2 linked regions of the Nothobranchius furzeri genome follow. The protein of the gene in region 1 interacts with the protein of each later gene in a pairwise test. Links are inferred from orthologs where the notes say so. Each region holds a gene or a part of one and is shown in the gene's direction. Other genes may lie near its edges.

Region 1 (3,822 bases):
GCTGCCAATAGAAAATAGACAGAAAAACAATCGGCTTAAAAAACAGTCAGATCTACGTCACACTGTCACTTAACATTCATGGACACACCCATCTTGGCTCGTGACGAGGAAGGCATAGTGTCCAGGGAATGGCAGAGAACCTCTAGGCTAGTAGAAGCTAACTGTTAGCATTAGAAACTTCATAACAAGACAGAACTCCTTCAGGCTTGTGTTATTTGCGGAGATAAAACATCAGTGATGCAGAGTGACTGGAGGCAGTGAAGGAGTCGTGTTCGAATGGCTGGAACGATGCTAGGAGTAAATAAGTCGTTAGGTCACTTGTGTTGATGTAATCTACATAGATATGAAATTGCACTGCTGCAATAGTCTTTTATTTTTAAAATTACCAGTGATTTTACACTAAAACCATGTGTGATTTCCTGTCTAGCCCATGTTAACTGCAGAAATTGACGTGTCCCAGAAGCGACTCGCTGCCAAAACAAAACCCGATCCTATCTTTAGCGATGCGGTGCGCCGCTTCTGGGACACACCTGAAAATGTCTGCATTGTGGCTGGTTTGACTCTAATGGATTATGTTGGAAGCAGTGACGTTCTGTGCTGCTAATGCTTCCAGTGTGAAGTAGGGATTATACTCCAAATGCTGCCGTTTTCTGCTCCTCTCTTCCCTGGCTAACTACTACTTCCTAAAACAGAAGAGCTTTTTTATCCTCACAGAGAATGAAAGTGCAAACTGTCAAAACAACTTTGTCCAGCCTGCAGTTACAGTAGAAATCCAAATAATTCTGACCTGATTTCATGTCTCTGATGTCTGGGCGTCAGGTGTCAGCCTGCAGGAGGACGGGACTCTGATCATTGAGAGAGTGAAGAAAGATGACGAGGGTGTGTACGAGTGTGTGGCCCAAAACATGGAGGGATTCGCCAAAACGAGTGCTGTTGTCACGGTGCTCGGTGAGTCAATCTGTCAAATAAAAATTATAATAAATATATCAAACTGAATAATTAGTCCAAGCAGTTAAATGTTTTTTTTTCTTTTATAATCCTGCGTTTCTAGGGAAATCAAAGAGGCCCTTTTGGCCTTGTGTTTTCTTTTCATCACTACAAATTGCTCTGGTCTGAGACAAAAAGCTCCCGATGGAAAATTGGCAGCTGCCAGGAATGCCAAGTGAATTCCTTCTTGGGGTTTATGATCATAGCTTTGGCGGAGGGCCCTTTTGTAGAGGACATAACCTCTGTCAAGTGTTAAGAGGGTCTCTAATGAGTCTTAAAATATTGACTGCTGCTGCAGCCGCGACAGGCTGGAAACAGGCAGAGTCCATCGCTGGACACGAAGCTTCTCAGACAAATTGTTTCAGAAAACGCATAAATAAAAGTTCATTTCTTTCATTGATCAGAAACACTCTTCTCTTTCAGGAGATGATGGGAAGCCAAATATTGAGGTGATAATTCTGGTGTGCACTGGAGCTGCGGCCACTTTCCTCTGGCTCATGCTCATCTTGTTCATCCGGAAGCTCAGGAGGGTGAGGGCGACGTTGCTTTACTCCTCACATTATTTGTGAAATTCTCCATTTCCTCTTTTTAATACCAATGTAAAGTTTAGCTGGTTGTGAAATGCTGCTAAGCTGATAGATAAATTTAGAATTTTTTTTAAAATTGTGCAGCATGTCTGGAAGGGAACTCTATGTACTTAATCTCACTCGTGTGGGGAGCACAAGACAAAACTAGGTGTGATGAAAGAAGAATGAAAGTAATCCTTGTTTTATGTATCTGAACACATCAGCAACCATCTCATTACAAGATGGGTCCGTCTATCATCATTGATCCTGATGAGTATCCCCTGGAGGAGCAGAACGACCTCCTCCAGTACGACAGCAGCAAATGGGAGTTTCCTCGTGATCGCCTGCGACTCGGTGAGTGCAAGTCTTACATTTCCATTTATTCAGACCTAAAAGATCTTTGAGTTATTAGATTATCCTTCAGAAAAATGCATTTTTCAGAAGGATAATCTAACAACTCAAAGGTCGTTTAGGTCTGAGATGCTAAATAAACTAACCCAAGGTTAAAAGTTTTCAAACAGGACATTAAGATACATGATGGATGTGCCCCCCCTGCAGCTGCAGCTTTGGGTCATCATTTATATCTGACCTCTGCTGTCACCCTGACTCAAGTCAACCATAAATTTGTTTGAAAAACTGCCACATGAGAGCTCCAGTGGCCTCCTGATGGGAGGGGGTCACACTGACTCGTTTCTGTTGGTCTTTGCCCCAGAGAGACACACTTGGTGTCGTTCTATTTATCAAACTGTTTCCTTCTTCACCAGGTAAAATTCTGGGCCACGGAGCATTTGGGAAAGTGATGGAAGCTTCCGCCTTTGGAATCGACAAACTCTCCACCTGCAAGACCGTTGCAGTGAAAATGCTGAAAGGTAGCATGCCTGAACTTCAGCGTTTACTCCTGATGGGTTTATTCTTCTGCAGACCCATGAGCTCCAGCACCACATGTGCAATTAATATGTGCATGGCTTAGTAGTTCAAAGAATGCAATTAGACGTGTTTGATGCAAAGGGAGGAAGAAGTGAAGGCAAAGACCTCTAGCCCCGCCCCCAAATCCACTGAGTTCAAAAGTGTAAAAGATCCAAATGAGCCAGAAAAATATTCCTGTTTATGATGTCTTTAAGATTTTAAATACAAAAATAACTTCATAAACTTCAAAAATAATAACCTTTTTTTCTTTTCTTTACTGAAACTTGAAAAAAATTAAAAAACTTCTAAAACTCCAACTTCCCTTTCTTACACTGAACACAGATTTTTGCTTGTTTTCTGCGTTCATAAAGAAACAGTCAACACTCATCAGTGAGTATCGATATTGAGGTGGTCTGTTAGCCTCGGCCAGGCTTCCAGCTGCATCTGTTGTCCTATGATTTATTTATGTGTGTATTAATCGTGTTTGGATATAAATCATAGATTATCTGAGGAAAGCAGGTCGCAGGTCAAACTTAATGGAAAGCAGAAACTCTGTGACTTATCCCTGCTTTTGGTTTTCCTCTCAAGTATGTTTCAGAGCGATCTGCATCATGGCATCGTGCTTTAAGCCTTTCAAAAACAAGCATGTCGAGTCAAAGTTTATCACTCTAAATGTGGTTTTTCAAAATAGTTTCTGATACCTTTGTAAACTTTGACCTTTTTAAACCTTTTTTCTCAAATATAAGTAAACTGAGCAGTCACCTCCTTTTTAATATAAATGCTAAATAGGCTATTTTTCCCTAGAAGACTGGGCAACATTATTATATATAGAAAAACATTTGTTTTGCATAAACATAAAAAGATTTATGGAATCGTTTGTATAACCTATACTGTGTGAGAAGCTGGGATTAAACAAATTATGACAATGTTTTTAAGTTTTTAGCATTTAAAGGGATACTTTGCAACTTTTTCATATTTTCTAATCATTTTCTTGGCCCATTATATGATAAAATAACGCTTTACAGGGTTAATGAAAGGCCGCCGAGCCTTATCGCCCCCCAGCGGCCAGAATATTCGCCTTGCAACTTCAGATTTGCCGGTCCGGTCTGCGGGACTTGGAAAAAATGAGCTGACATACCTGGCGCTGCAGTCTGCTTCCAGCATGTTTTAGATCATGAACACAGCTGATTTGTTCAATTTAGTGATAAATCACTCTTGTAGACTCTAAGGAAGGCTGGGGAGACATTTCAGCTGTTCAGATAAAGGTGTTAAAAAGACAAACACACAGAGAGGAGATAAGTTTTGCTTTCAGTTTTACAAACGGACACTTAGGGATGTCAAAAGCAAGTCAAAACTGCCTAAT
Region 2 (3,822 bases), on another chromosome or scaffold:
CACAGCAGGTCACCCAATGGTTAACCCTCAGGCTCAAAATAAGTTTTGATAAAAGAACGAACAACTAAGTCCTTCAGGGGTACTTCTGAGTAAAAAAAATGCTCATGAAATACGTACAGTATGTCGAGTAACCAGATAGGTAGGTTTTAACGTTGCAAATCTGCAACGCCTGCCTCCAGAGGGTTAAGAATTTTAAAAATGCTCTTTATTAGAGACTCGATGTGTTCATTTTCTATGAGATTCTGATGTTTTTAAGTTTGTTTGTTTTCCTAAATTAGTTACATATGAATTGAATTGAACTGAATTGAATTCTTTATTGCCATTATGCATACACATAACAAAATTATGTTGGTAGCTCTCAGCTTAAAGGGTACTAAGACCACAAATAGAATGATAAAAACATGAAGAGTAAAAAAAAGAACAATACATAACCTTCCCTTTAGGGAGCCATACACACACTTGAGTAAAAAAGCGGAATCATTTAAAAGATATAAAAGATAAACGTTGCGCTGACTGGTATTCTGATCGTACTGATCGACATGTTGATTGATATTATTGCACTGCTTGTTATTGCACATAGACGATTCAAGTGAACAGGACAATAGCAGCATGAAAAAACAGGATCATTGTAAATTACAACCAACCCATCATTAAAATTCTAACAGTCTCATGGGTCATTGGTTGGGAGTGTAGGTATCTGCAGGGTCACAGAGGTGGGGGGGGGAGGATGACGGTGGAGAATGACTGGGGGGGGGGGGGCTTTAACAGCTCTAGAGAAGAAGCTGTTCCTCATCCTGGTGGTTGTGGCCTTGATATTCCTGTAACGTTTCCTGGATGGTGGCGGCATAAACAGTTTGTGACCTGGATGGAAGGAATCAGCAGCGATACAGTTAGCCTTCCTTTGTAGTCGGATGGTATATACTGAGTCCAGATCTGGTAGTGGGCTCCCCACGATCCGCTGAGCAGTTTTCACCACCCTGGCCATGTCTTTTTTGTTCTGGACGGTACAGCTCCCATACCACACCGTCATACTGAGTGATAGGATGCTCTCAATCGTGGCTCTGTAGAAGTTCTTTAGCAGTTGGGGGGAGAGACCGGCTCCCTTCAGTTTCCTAAGGAAGAAGAGTCTTGGCTGGGCCTTCTTTACCAGAAAGGAAGTGTTCAGTGATCAAGTTAGATCTGAGGTGATGTGGATGCCCAGGAATTAGATGTTGTCTACACGCTCTACTAGCTCCCCTCAAATGAGTAGAGGTGGGTGTTCTGTCCTGTTGAACCTCCTGAAGACCACTATGACCTCCTTGGACTTACTGGCGTTAAGCACCAGGTTGTTCAAAGAACACCACTGAGTGAAGTGCTGTACCTCCTCTTTGTAGAGGGTCTCATCGTTGTTTGTTATGAGACCCACTATGGTGGTGTCATCTGCAAACTTCAAAACCATGTTTGAGGGGTGGAAGGCTGTGGAGCCTGGATATTTTTTTAACTGTGTTGTGGAACATTTGTGGTAATTACTGCACTTTCTGGTGGGAAAAAAAGATTTACTTCACAACTTGCAGAAACAAGGTTTTGCTGTTTGGCGTGTTCTCGGAATCACATTAATAGGATTAGAATTTCTGGGAATGTGTCAGATTTTCTCTCATGTTGTGTAATCTGTTATTTCTAATGGAAAAGAAGCAAAATGCATCTTCCCGATTTTAATTAACTCTTTTGATTTGTCAAAAATGGGGGAAATGGTTACATAAAAGGGTTTCATAACATTTGAAAATGATGTACATGTGTGCTTGTTGCTCAGGATATATATATATATATATATATATATATATATATATATATATGTGTGTGTGTGTGTGTGTGTGTGTGTGTGTGTGTGTGTGTGTGTGTTCAAAAGATCCCTTCACGACATTTTCAAAATTGCACAAATCAAACTGTAGAATTCAGATTTATATAGTCACAATTTTAAAAGGGTTTAAGGGGAACCTCAGGCACTACACTTATTCAGCAATTCAGTTATCTCACCAATTATCTCTAATTGCATGATTTACTTAGGTTGTAGTGGGTTTAAAGTAAAACATTTCAAAAGGTATAATCTGCCTGCTGAAGTGGCTAAAGTAAAAAATAAATATGAAAATAAATATGAAAACATTCTATTGTACTATTGCACAAGAATGCAGATCAGAATTCATCCAGCTTGAGGCGAGAAATGTTCTTGAGCTGTTGTTTTTTTTCTCTGATGTCAGATGGTTATCTGTGTGCTGATGGTCAGCCTTCAGGCAGCAAAGACTACGAGGAGCACCAGTACGTAAACACCCAGAGTCTGGAGAACCTTGAATCTCTCACACAGGGTGCAGAGGGACACAAAGGGGCCAAGGCACATGACAGTCCCAAAAAAGACCTTTTTGACATGAGTGAGTGCTTTAACAATAAGCGTATGTAAAAATGAATAGAAAAACCGCAACAAACTAATAAAATCCAAAAAAGGCAGCTGGACATGTTTGGTTTCTAGAAAACTTTTCGCTTCTCATTTCCATCAATTCTGACTGGAATATGGGAGAGCCAAACTTTTAAACTGTAGCTGTCTTTTGTTGCTAAACTGCTGGCTGTTTCCTGATCAGAGAGCCCCTGGCTGCAAGCGTTTTTGAGCGCTTGTAACTGTTTTTTGAAGAGTCACAGAATATTGTGCTCTATGACCACGTAAATACCAAAACTACCAAAAGAAAGAGTAAACTCACTTCTTACATCTGGAATAATCAGCATGTTTTTAGCTTTTTCTGTTCTTTCACAATCTGTTGTCGTAAGTGTGAGCTGCAGCTTTTCCATCCCAAAACGACTTCCTCATACCTGATCATGTGATGTGTGACACATACAGATGTACGTAAGTCAACTTTCGAGCCGTGATGTTTACTATCAAGGTGAGCAAGCTCGCTCCCAAGCTCGCCCCATTAAAAACACTATTGACAAGTTTAGGCAGCAAGCAGTTGGATTTAAAATGGCGACTTTAGTCGTCAGTGGCAGTGAATGAGTTAAGAAGCAGAAACACCCTCTGAATACCCCTCCTCCCCACCTCCCAATAAGTCGTTAGGCTCTATTGTGTGAGAATGGTTGTTTTGATTAGCAGCAGGATGTGACCTAGACTGAATTAGGTTTAGAGCTGCATTATAAGTACTGGAAAGGTGAAACCTGAATCCTCCTCCTTTGTTGAATGTAGGATTTTCCCATTTGACATAGATAGCTTCTTTTATTCCTCTCTCAAAACATCTAACTACTCTGTCCAGAATGTGTCCCTTGTCCTTCAGGTGTAGGTGGACTGCAGAGTCTTGACCTGATGAGGTGGCTCTTCTGTGTTGTGCCATGCGCTTGTGTAGTTGTTGTTTAGTTTCCCCAATGTAAAGATCTGGACATTCCTCACTACATTGGACTGCTTAAACGATGGCACTAAGCTTCTGTTTGGGTGTTTGGTCTTTTGGATAGACCAATTTTCTTGCTTGACTCCCATATTCCAGTCAGAATTCACAGAGCTCCTCGGATGAGAAGCAAAACGTCTTTAAGAAACTAAAGAAGTCCAGTTGCCTTTGTTCAAATTTCTCTATGGATTACCATGACCTGCTTGACTTAGTGCCATCACCAGCATGTGTTTATTAAACATTGTATCTGCAGGACCTTTTGAGGATGCGCTGAAGCTTCACGAGGCCTGTGGTGGAGCTGTTGGGTCCAGTGTACCAGGAGGTCCTGGCTCTCAGGTGGGAGGTGTTCGAAACTTGGAGGACCAGTGGCCCAGTCCACCAAGACGCAGAGCTCCCGTTGCCCCAAACGAGGAGCAGCTCCGCA

The links.
Region 2: the proteins of kdrl (region 1) and shc2 interact in a two-hybrid assay, tested with the Homo sapiens proteins (2 studies listed by BioGRID). The link is inferred for Nothobranchius furzeri from reciprocal best matches to the Homo sapiens genes FLT1 and SHC2.

What each region holds. Positions count from the first base shown.
Region 1 is NC_091741.1:84,332,160-84,335,981, forward strand, and holds part of kdrl (vascular endothelial growth factor receptor kdr-like), read left to right. Parts: intron 1-819; coding exon 820-948; intron 949-1,410; coding exon 1,411-1,517; intron 1,518-1,777; coding exon 1,778-1,907; intron 1,908-2,317; coding exon 2,318-2,422; intron 2,423-3,822. UniProt on the Homo sapiens protein: Tyrosine-protein kinase that acts as a cell-surface receptor for VEGFA, VEGFB and PGF, and plays an essential role in the development of embryonic vasculature, the regulation of angiogenesis, cell survival, cell migration, macrophage function, chemotaxis, and cancer cell invasion.
Region 2 is NC_091748.1:54,777,309-54,781,130, forward strand, and holds part of shc2 (SHC-transforming protein 2), read left to right. Parts: intron 1-2,234; coding exon 2,235-2,402; intron 2,403-3,651; coding exon 3,652-3,822. UniProt on the Homo sapiens protein: Signaling adapter that couples activated growth factor receptors to signaling pathway in neurons. Involved in the signal transduction pathways of neurotrophin-activated Trk receptors in cortical neurons.